3 linked regions of the Rattus norvegicus genome follow. The protein of the gene in region 1 purifies or fractionates together with the protein of each later gene. This does not show direct contact. Links are inferred from orthologs where the notes say so. Each region holds a gene or a part of one and is shown on either strand. Other genes may lie near its edges.

Region 1 (3,746 bases):
CTCCGGGAGTGTTAACCCAGACTGGTCTGATTTCAGACGTTTGTAAGGCCACACAATTCCCAAGGAGAACCCAGGGTGTGGAAGGAGGGTGTACTGGGGACTCACTCCATGTGTATACTCCTTGGCAAAACCTTTGACTTCAGTGTCTTCCTCAATCTCTTGCCACCCACTGGAGCTACACTGGTTGACCAGCAGGCCATAGAACCCTCCTTTTGCTTACCCAATCCTGGGATTACAGGCACGCTCCATCATGTACTGGGGACAGAACTTAGGGTACCATGCTCTGGTTGCAATCATTCAACTAGCTAAGTCATCTCCCCTAGACTGAAGGTTATAACATATATCACTATAATTTATTTATGATGTGGGTGTTTGGTTGAATGTATATATATGTACCATGTCAGTGTCTGGCATTGTCAGAGATCAGAAGAGAAGGTAGGATCCACTATAACAGGGTTTATAGATGCTTGTGAGTTGTCACGTGGGTGCTGGGAATCGAACCTGGTACCTCTGGAAAAGTGACCAGTAACTACGGAACCATTTCTCCAGTCCTAGGCTTTTTTTTTTTTTAAACATTTATTTATTTAGCTTGTGTCTGTTTGTTTTATGACTCGGAGGTCAGCACAACTTTGTGGGGTAGGTATTCGCCTTCCAGCTTTATGTAGTGGGCTCGGGGATTTGAACTCAGGTAGAAAGGCTCATGCAGCAAGAACCTTTACCTGCTAAACCAGCCCTAGCAAGCAGACAGACACAGGGTTTCTGTTTCTGCCTGAGTTGAAAGAGGGATTAGGCATTTCTGCTAGGCATTCCGGTACAAGAACACCTTTACTTCCTACCTAGGGAGAGTGCGAAGCTTTGTTTGGGGCCTAGCCGCGTCCATCCTAAGCGCTCAGAAGGTTTGAAATTTGACTTAAAGAGGACAAAACTGAGAAGTACCCTCCAAGGAGATTTTCACGTTACTAAGGCAACGCCCCTTCTGGTGCACCCGGGGGAAAACTACAACTCCCATAATCGCCCGGGCTACCCAGCCCCTCCTTAATGGGGGCGGGGCGCGGGCGAGCGCGGAACCGGCTTCCTATTTCCTGCGGCATGATTGGCCCGCAGCTCGGGCGGGGTAGCCAATGAGCACACTCTCGGAGAGCGGTGAGGGCAATATGGCTTCCTGCACCTGGTGACGGTTGAGGAAATTGAATTTGGTATCATGGAGAAGCCGCGGGGCACTGAGGTAAGAGGGTAAAGGGTTCAGTCCAAAGGGGGAAAGGGAGCCCCGAACGCCTCACTCGGAGGACGCGGAGTTTAGCGATGTCTGGGTGGTGGAGAGTTGCAGGGTTGATAAACTGAGGTACGGAGTTTAGTCCGGGCCGGAGGCTACAGAGGTTCCTTTTGGTTTGATGACGAAGGAAGGGAGGCAACGCCTGGTTTCATGATTCTGAGCTTTAGGATTGGGCGGCCTGTCCCTTCCACGCGGGAAGTAAAGGGAGGGAGATCAGAGTTGGTTATTATTCCACGCGGGGAGCGTTCACGTGCAGGTCTCCCAGTGTACTCACGGCCATCTTCTTTAGTGAGGGCTTAAAACAGCCTTTTGGATTGACACAGCTGGAAAGTGCAAGAGGTTGTCACCAAGAATGTCAGTTTCCAAAACTCTGTTATGCTTTATGTGTGGCACAGCAGCCGATGACCCACCGCATCTTGCATTTGAGGTCTCCATTTCCAAGCGGTCATAATTGCTAATTTTTATTGAGCACTGTTTTGAGTGTTTTACGTTTATCATCCCTTCCCAGAATATTATTAGTGGTATTATCCTCATTTGGTGGAAACTGAGGCAATGCAGTTGACTTGCTGTGGATCATACAGCTAGGAAGCACCAGAGATCTCATTTGAACCTTGGCTCAAAGCCTCTTTCTCCTTACCTTTGTTTTGCTCCCCGCCCCTCCCTCGCCCTCGCCCTCCCCCACCCCCCACTTTTCCACTACAAGTTAGGTACGTTTTTATGTAGCGTCCCATCTCTACCTCACATTCTGTGACCCGTAGGTGAGAAAATTGAGTCCCACAGACCTTAAGATCCTTAGCTGATTGAAATAAGCTAAGCTCACGGCTGTGGTGCATACCGCTATGCAATTAGTCTCTGGGAGTCATTTGACTCAAAGCCTCCTTGGGATAACCTGGGTCTCAATTTTCTCAGCCTTTTTTTTTTTCTTTCCCCCTGTTTTCCTTTTTGGAAGAAAACAGGTTTATTGAATACACTGCAGGGGACAGTAGGCTAGGCATCAGCAACAAGAGGGCCACTGCCAGCCTTAAATTTGTTTCTGAATTGAAATCATTTGGATGTGCATATACAGAAGAGGGAAGAATGAGTTTCAAATGCCTTCGAACCCATTGAAAAATGTTTGAGGTGCTTAGGGTATTTCCACATTATTGTATAGATCTCTGATCCCTGGCATAGTTTTTTGACCCAGTAGTGGTGTGTAAGCAATGTTTTTTCAATAGACACTGTACTTTGAAGTTGGAATTTTGCCCTACACCCAAGCCATCAATACAAGAGGTCCTGGTGCTGAGCAGAGGCTCAAACCAATCACAGCTTGCAGTTAGCCACGCAGTCATTAGAGGAAACAACCCATTTTCCTTCCTTCCTTTCTTTCTCTTTTTCCTGTTTTGGTTTTGATTTTCAGGGAACTTGTTTTGTAGACCAGGCTGTCCTCAAACTCACATAGATCCGTCTGCCTCTGCTTCCTGAGTGCTGGGATTAAAGGCATTCACTACCACACCTGCCTTTTTCTTTCTTCTTCTTCTTCTTTTTTTTTTTTTTTCTTTTCTTTTTTTTCGGAGCTAGGAACCGAACCCAGGGCCTGCGCAGGCAAGCGCTCTACCACTGAGCTAAATCCCCAACCCCTTTTTTTTTTTTTTTTTTTTTTTAAAGAGGATCTATTAGCCAGATGGTGGTGGCACACACTTTTAGTCCCAATACTCGGGAAGTAGAGGCAGGCAGATCACTGCATTCAAGGTTGACATGGCCTACATAGCTAGTTCCAGGGCTTCTGAGAGAAACCCTTTTTTCAAAAAGAAAAGAGAGAGTGAAAGGGAGAGGTGGGAGTATGGGGGGTACTAGCTGTGTAGACCAGGCTGGTTTCAAGCTCAGAGTGATAGGTCTACCACAGAGTGCTAGGATTAATGATGTCACCACAATACCTAGCCGCCTAGAAGTTTTATTTTTTTTATTTTATTTTTTTTTTATTTTTTTGGTTCTTTTTTTCGGAGCTGGGGACCGAACCCAGGGCTTTATGCTTCCGAGGCAAGCGCTCTACCACTGAGCTAAATCCCCAAACCCCTAGAAGTTTTAAATGAATGTTCAGCACATATGCATGTATGTATGTATGTATGTATGTATGTATGTATGTATGTATATTGGTTTTTCATGACAGGATTTCTTTGTGTAGCCTTGGCTGTCCTAGAACTAGCTTTGTACCAGGCTGGCCTCAAACTCAGAGATCCACCTGCCTCTGCCTCCCCACTGCTGGGATTAAAGGGGCTTGCCACTGCCACCCCAGCTCATAGTGGGTTAGCCAATTTGTAACCTCTCTTGTCAAGCTGAGCACGGATTGTTTTCCCACTAGGAGACGCCATCTTCAGAGCCAATGGAAGAGGAGGAAGATGATGACTTGGAACTCTTCGGAGGCTACGATAGCTTCCGGAGTTACAACAGCAGTGCGGGCAGTGAGAGCAGCTCCTACTTGGAGGAGTCAAGTGAA
Region 2 (3,746 bases), about 11 Mb from region 1:
TTAAGACTTCTGGTGAGTGGCCCAGAGCCTCTTCAGTTTCAATCCAAATGACAATGCTTCTCTGAGTCCTCCTCAAGTAATGTTTCCACCACTAAAAATTGGATCTACAAGAGCTCAGATATACTGGTAATAAAAAAAGTCAGGGGCTTCCAAGTGGGCCCCAGGCCCCTTTTAAAGTAGGCCCACTTCTGTCCTGGGCCAACTCCCCTGTGCACTACAATCCTTCCAGGGGCAGGGATTCAGCCTGGTGCTTCTCTTCTGAGTGTCACCACCTACTCTACTTCTCCGTTCCTCTAAGCCCAAGACTGGCTGTGGAGTAGGACACCAGCTTCCCCCTATCCTTGCTGTCCCTGCAAATAAACAAACAGACTCGTCTAATTCCTAAAAGTATGAGAGAATAGAAGGAAAAACAAAAACAAGCGAACAAAAAAGGCACCAATATAGTGGCAGAGATCAGGGTTATAGTAATTGTCTCTACTTCAAAACGCCTGCCTCAAAATAACCAATCAAATGAGCTACATATTGCGTATGTCCAAATATGTATACAGTACACACTAAGCCATTCCCATCCTTACACAGACATACACCCTGTGCTTTTCAAAACACTTATAACAGGAGTCCAAAAATAGAAGTAGCTTCTCATTTTAGAATCTTTCCTTGAACTTAAAAAGTATTTAAAACCTTGCTTTTTAATAGATGCCAAGAAACGCCGAAAATATTCTATTCGATGTAAATGAGGACTCACAGTAAAAAAAAAAAAAAAAAAAAAAAAAAAAAACCTATTGAGATTTACACGATAGGTCTGTCAAAAGCGGCCAGTATTGTAGAAACAATAAAATCTCTACATGTCTCTACACTCACCATGTTAATAAAATTCTATAAACTGAATTTTAAAACCGGGATACCTCCTTTTTAGAAACAACTTTGACTATTTAGAATGTCAAAATTATACAGGCCCTCTTTTTCAAACAGAAAATTCCCCATGTTCTGCGATAATTTATATTCTAATAGGCTTCAGAGTAGCAAAATAAATACGTTACTTAAACATTGCTACAAATCACAGGACTCAAAGAAATGAACTTAAAGTCTGCCTTCCTGCAAGGGACCTGTGACCAGGTGGAGACGGATCAAAAAGGCCACTGACTTTTTAAATGTTTTTAAAAGACAATACTATATATCTACCACACCACAAATTTAGGGCCAGAAACAGACAAAGATCAGGATACCCCGTTTGTGTAAAGATATTCAGGCACTCGAGTAAAAATGCGTTGCTGGGCTCGCCTCCCAACTACTTAATTGTAAAATATTACAGAAATGGAACAAAAACCAGACGTGAAACCTTGGCCTGACCCTTCCGGACATCCGTTACTAAGAAAGTTTGATCTATTACGATCCTACAGCGATACTTTTTCCCCAGGGGGACCGAATGACATCGCGGCCTTTCCTCCGTCCCTTCCCCCTCCCCGTCCCCGTCCCCGCCCCCTCCCCGCACACCAACACCACAATGCGGCCAACGTCTCCGCGCCCGGCTGGGGAGGGGGACACCGCGCCGGCCACGCACTGAATAGCAGCGGCCGGCGACCCCCTTCCATAATTCATCCCCCGAAGCAGGCGTCGCGGACCACGTCGCCGCTGCCGCCGCGGCCGCCACCGATCCCTCGCCGCAAGCCGCGGCTCAGCCGGGTCGCGCCCCACCGCGGACACCGCCTGGCTGGCCGCCCCGCCGTCCCGCGTCGCGCGGGGGCCGCGGGCCGCGGACGCGCGGGACTCACCGGGTGGAGGTGCCCTTCCGCACATCGCACATCATGCACTTGAAGGCCTCGGCGCTGTTCCGGAAGGTGCAGACGCTGCAGTCCCAGTAGCCCTCATCCGAGGCGGGCTTCGGCTGCCGCTTCGGCCTGCAGGACACAACCGGACACGACGCAGCGCGGGGTCAGCCGCAGGCCGCGCCCGGCCCCGTGCCCCGCCCCGCCCGGCCCGCGACCCCCGCCCCGCCCGGCGCCGCGCGGGGGAGGGGAGCGCGGCCGCTGACCCCGGCCGCCATCGCGGCCCATTGTGGGCAGCGGCGCGCGGCGCCGCACCCCCTCTCCACACACACACACACACACGCACACACACACACACACACACACACACACGCGCGCGCCCCGGGCCGCGCCACCGGGCCGCGGGCGCTCCGCCGGCGGGCGCCCTACCTGGTGGGGCTCTTCTTGTCGCCCATGCTCGCTGCCGACGCGCGCGAGGCCGCGGCCCGTCTGTCAGCGCCGAGGCGAGGGGCCGGCGGAAGCGCGGAGGCGAGGGGGCGGGGAAGGCCGCGCCGCGAGCTGCAGCCGCCGCCGCCGCCGCCACCGCCGCCGCCGGATCCCACGCAGCCTCCAGCTGTCGGGGAAACTCCTGCCCGCGCGCACGTGACCCGCGCCGGCCAACCAGCGGCCGCGCCGGAGACTTCAAACGCGGGGAGCGCGGCCCAGCACCCGCGGCGAGTTCGCGGCGCCGCCTCCCTCCTGCTCACCCGCTCGCCGCCCGGAGCGCTCAGGCCGTGGCTCGCACGCCCGGAGGGGCGCGGTGGCTGGCGCCCGCAGACACACGTGCGCCCAGCGCGGCGGGGACCGTCGTCCTTCATTGGGGGTAGCGACCCAGAGGCTCGGGAAAGGTTCGGTGCCCTGCTCTGACTTACATAATTCGAACGTGACGAAACCAGGGTCTGATCCTGTTTTAATTCCAGAGGCGTCCTCTTGGCCTCACGGGGCTCTGCAGTGGCTTGTTATAAAACGGACGTTCGTGAGCTTTCCTAAGACGAATGAGGTTGCTTGTGTCCTGGACACCACCTCCCCAGCCTCGTTACTTCAGCCTATCAGAGACACACCTCGCCTGTTAGACCCAAACAACCATCTCGCTGGTCCTTTAAGCTCTGCTCCCACCTCCCCAACCTAGCGGGTACCCCACAACCAGAGTTAGCGTGCCATCGCTCTGATCGAGAGGCGACCTTAGCGTGCCAAGTCAGGAGAGCTGCTCCTTTGAAGAAAGGGTAGATGAAATCCATCCTTTCGCGGAGCCCTGCCTTTACTGCCTTACTTGGGTGTGCTGATGGAGGCGGTGTAGCTTAGCGTTAGGCTTAACTAACTGAAGAGGACCCAGTTCAGGCACTGAGTACTTAACAGTTGATCTGTGTGACTCCTAGTTGGGATACACTATAAAGGGTGTTTAGAAAATCCAGCTGGACTAAAGCAGGATAAAGCAAATTTTCATCATAATACTCAGAGGGGGGTGGCAACTAAAAACTTAGGAGTTAATTATTTATGAAGTCCTTAGTATTTTGAACTATATTGTCCGTGGGTAATTTAAATAGGAAAGCAGCTAAAAACCGCAGCTAAGGGAGACTGCTGTATTGATGTATTACTTACCAAAAACATCAAAAGTTAATAACCGAAGGGGGAATGCTGACCTTTTATCATTGGGAATTAGAGATTAATTGGGGTAATTAAGAGGGAACCGGGCTACCAGATTCTGAGAGAAGAAACTTTTTTTTTTTCTTTCGGAGCTGGGGACCGAACCCAGGGCCTTGCGCTTCCTAGGTAAGCGCTCTACCACTGAGCTAAATCCCCAGCCCCCTGAGAGAAGAAACTTAAAATGAAGTATAGCAGAACGGGCAAGCATATGGCTCAGCGGTGGAGCACTTTTGAAAAATCATTTTAAAAAATTGTTTTATGTGGGGTCTGCTTGGTTGTTTAGTTTTTTTTTGTTTT
Region 3 (3,646 bases), on another chromosome or scaffold:
GAGACCTGCAGGTGCCCTGCCAGCTTGCTCTCCCTGCCCTCTCTCTACGTAAGAGCCAGGAGTGGTTGGTTCCTCAGGAGCATGCCTGTCCCCTTAGGAGGACAAGCAGCACCAGAGAGTAGGGACAGGGACTAAGCACGCATGCAGAGCGTCCCACCTCCCCCCTCAGACTCACACAGAGCTACAGGCACAGCCAGGCCTGCATCTGCTGCAGGAAGGCTCAAGTGCAGGTAATATCTTACAGGATAGAGAGATCCTCACCCCGTGACACTTGCACCATGAAAACCACAGGTGCTACTCATGGAGCCCAACACCCAAGGTTGGTCATGTGACCAACGATCAGCCCGACCTCAGCAGACACCCAGGCACTAGGGATTCTGGGTCGCAGCATGGCCAGTCGCAGGGCACAACTGACCTGTCACATACGGTTCTAGAGCTTTTGGTACCAGACTTCTCGCCACCTTGAGGTCTTCAGCAGAGCAGCTGCCCGACTCCAGCCCACAGGCCATGCCCATGCGCTTGAGCACCTCGATATCATCGTGGATTTCAAACGTGTTGTCAAAGTTGAACAGATACTCAAATCTGTTGGGGAAAGGCACTGTGAGGATGATGTGGCCTCCTTCCAAGAGCAGGCAGTAAGTCCTGTGGGTGGGGACCAGGCAGCAGCCCCTCCCAACACCTCCCGTCCAGGGCCTACAACTGAACTCCTCTACAACAGTTCACACCAGGGAAGGAAAGACACGTTGGATAATTCCACAACCTGTCTTGCTCTAGGCATGGCCCTGGGCCGGGACACAGCGCTACCTGCACATGTACATGTTCTAGGACCACCAGAGACCACAACTGCTGTTACTCAGCAGCCATAAGACTGAATCCTGATGACAAATGCCTGTTTCTTTCCCCGAGGAGCTACATTTCGAGGGCCCACTGAAGACGAACTTGTCATTGGAGATGCTGCAGTCGATGACTGTCTTCCTGCTGGTGTTGACAATGATGAAGGGCAAGTGGATGACAGAGTTGGGAGGCGGTGGCCTGCGGGCCTGCTGCTCCGCTTGGCGATTTCTCTGCACCAAGTTCTTGAAGGCAATTTGCTGAAAAAGACAAACATGGCCCCGATAGATGTCAATAACAGTAACACGATCCCTTCCTTCCTGCAGATAGTGGGAACCTGAGTGTTGAGAGATCGGCTGTAGCAGCCTGTGACATCTGCTCACAGCCTATAGGGGACAAGGAGCACGGGGAAAGCAGTCACAGGAATGACCTGCTAGAGGACACTCGGTCCTTGCAGTGCATGAGGGACCTCTGCAGTTCTGAGGAATGGACCCAGAACCAATGGTCCAGTACTGAAGTGACCAAGTGGCCACAAGACTCTGATCGAAGCCTGCCAACCACACTTCTCCCTCCCTACAGTGGCAGTGTTCTCATAAAGACATGACATACAGGAGGAGGCCCTGATCTCCATATGGGGACAGGCAACGACATAAAAACCTCAACCAAGAAGAGCGAGGGGAGGAAATGAGGCGTGGGTTGGTCCACTACCTACCCAGCTTACTTTTTTCCCTCTGGAGCCAAGATTTCCCAGATCTTGGTAAGGGCCCTACCATGCCACCTTCAGGCTGAGGACACAGGGAAGGAAGAGCCTATGTTACCAAGCCCTAGGTCCTGACACCACTTCTTCATCGGTTACGTTGTGTCTGAGGCAGTTAACAAGGCCTTGTGAGGGGCCGGATAATGCTGGGATCTCCAGCTCTGACCATTAGGTGCCCCGGAAACTACGATCATCCCAGGCTGGTGGCCAGTCACCCCCATGTCCAGTACCACCGCTATGCCTTCTGGAAGGTTCTGGCCCATCGCAGTCTGCTCTGCCATGAGCCCTGTATACACTATCTTCACTGAATCCCCAGGCCTCTTACAAGACAAGTCTCTCAGGGCTACTTCACATGGACACGACCAACCTTAACCACCATGCTTTCCCCATGCAGTAACTGTGACAACCAACATCTATCTACAGAGGATATGTCATGCCCAGTGCAGACTTAAAATTCCCTCGGCTGTCATGCCAAGGAGTGCTTATGCTCACAGTCAAGCCTCCCTGACAACAAGGCCTGTGTGGCCAACAGACTGTTTCCCGGGGGAAGGTGGGCGTCCCTAGAAAGGCCATACCTGCAGGATGAGCTCCTGGAGCTGTGACTGCTTTTGTTTGATCCTCTCCAGCCTCCGCTGCCTCTCTACCTGCAGACAGAACGGGGGTGGGGTTGGGGTTGGTTTACCCATCAGCATGCGTAAGGACAAACTCACTGTGTCAGGCTTTCACCAAGAACAACTGACAAGCCACAACAGTACAACAGACACAACCAAAGCTCTGGATGGAGGTCAGTGTTCCTGTAACTCCAACAGCACACTGATCCTTTCCTTTCTCACGTACGTACGTACGTGTGCGAGTGAACACACACACACACACACACACACACACACACACACACACACACACACACACACACACACACGTAAACTCTCTCTTTTAACAGGGACTACCAAATGCAAAGGGACCTTTGTCTCGTCCACTCGGCAACCTGGAATAGTCCTCTCATGTGACCAAAGACAACGCAGCGGCTTTAGGCAGTGTACCTCTAAGTTCTGGCACTCCTGAGCAGAGTTGGTGGGCAGGCCGATCCACTTGATCTCCTTCTTCTCCTTGGAGATGATGTTCATGGCCATCAGCACATTTAAGGCATCGTACACACGCCGCCGGATGTTCTTCTGGTCGTAGGCGGACTCGTTGGGTAAGATGTGGTTGTCAGCGGCGCTGAACTCGGCAACCAGCTCGTCGGCCACCTCATTGTAGGAGGTCGTCCCTTTCCTCTGCACCTTCTCACACACCTTCATGGAGAAATGCCGCAGGCCTTTGCCATTCTTCTCACCTTTCCTGTTCCGCTTCCTTCCAAACAGCAGAAAATGGACACTGTTAGAGCCTGGGAGCCGACTGTGAATCCAGACACTTCCAGAGGAAAGGCCTAAGGCCCCAGAGGCCCACTGTTCCCACAGCCCCACCATAGGCAGCAGGGACTCCGCCCTAATATATCAAGGACATTGGCAAGTATCAAGTGTTTGTCAGGTCAGAAAAGAACAGGTACGAGGCCAGTTCACACACCTGTGCCTTTAAATGTCTGGGAAGACGGACAGACATCCGAAGGGCAGAAATCAGCATGGGTCTGATCCGGACCACACACTAGGCACCACTGTTCTAAAGGCGTCTGCTGGCATCAGAGCAGGGCACATTTAGTGTAAACTTAGGAATTTTCAGGGCTGATTTTGGTAAGCTACCATAACATAAGGCAAATGCTCAGACTGACTGATGGGCTTGTGTCAAAAGGAAACCATGGTGCAGGTTTCAGGTCAGGAGGCACAGCAAATGTGTCCCCTCACTAAATCACACCAGGAACAGTCACTAGGTCCCTCAGGAGAGCTTGGGCACAGGTGATTCTAAACTGAAGGGAGAGAGACATGGTCACAACAGTGTTTTTAAAAAGTGATACACTGTTGACCTTTAAAGAGAATCACTTCACTTCCACATCCGCTACTGTCCCAGTGGCAGTACAGCCCTGGAGGGACAGACCACGCACAGGATGGAGCCCTGATGTGGGAC

Evidence for each region.
Region 2: the proteins of L3mbtl2 (region 1) and Yaf2 purify together in Homo sapiens (affinity purification with mass spectrometry; 5 studies listed by BioGRID and IntAct, counting the BioPlex papers as one, with this or other methods). This does not show direct contact. The link is inferred for Rattus norvegicus from reciprocal best matches to the Homo sapiens genes L3MBTL2 and YAF2.
Region 3: the proteins of L3mbtl2 (region 1) and Tfdp1 purify together in Homo sapiens (affinity purification with mass spectrometry; 4 studies listed by BioGRID and IntAct, counting the BioPlex papers as one, with this or other methods). This does not show direct contact. The link is inferred for Rattus norvegicus from reciprocal best matches to the Homo sapiens genes L3MBTL2 and TFDP1.

Annotation. Positions count from the first base shown.
Region 1 is NC_086025.1:115,065,359-115,069,104, forward strand, and holds the start of L3mbtl2 (lethal(3)malignant brain tumor-like protein 2), read left to right. Parts: upstream 1-1,182; 5' UTR 1,183-1,201; coding exon 1,202-1,225; intron 1,226-3,611; coding exon 3,612-3,746. UniProt on the Homo sapiens protein: Putative Polycomb group (PcG) protein. PcG proteins maintain the transcriptionally repressive state of genes, probably via a modification of chromatin, rendering it heritably changed in its expressibility.
Region 2 is NC_086025.1:126,376,439-126,380,184, forward strand, and holds the start of Yaf2 (YY1-associated factor 2), read right to left. Parts: upstream 2,222-3,746; coding exon 2,196-2,221; intron 1,899-2,195; coding exon 1,773-1,898; intron 1-1,772. UniProt on the Homo sapiens protein: Binds to MYC and inhibits MYC-mediated transactivation. Also binds to MYCN and enhances MYCN-dependent transcriptional activation. Increases calpain 2-mediated proteolysis of YY1 in vitro.
Region 3 is NC_086034.1:82,868,617-82,872,262, forward strand, and holds part of Tfdp1 (transcription factor Dp-1), read right to left. Parts: intron 3,258-3,646; exon of another isoform or gene 3,152-3,257; intron 2,939-3,151; coding exon 2,629-2,938; intron 2,233-2,628; coding exon 2,164-2,232; intron 1,092-2,163; coding exon 940-1,091; intron 583-939; coding exon 416-582; intron 1-415. UniProt on the Homo sapiens protein: Can stimulate E2F-dependent transcription.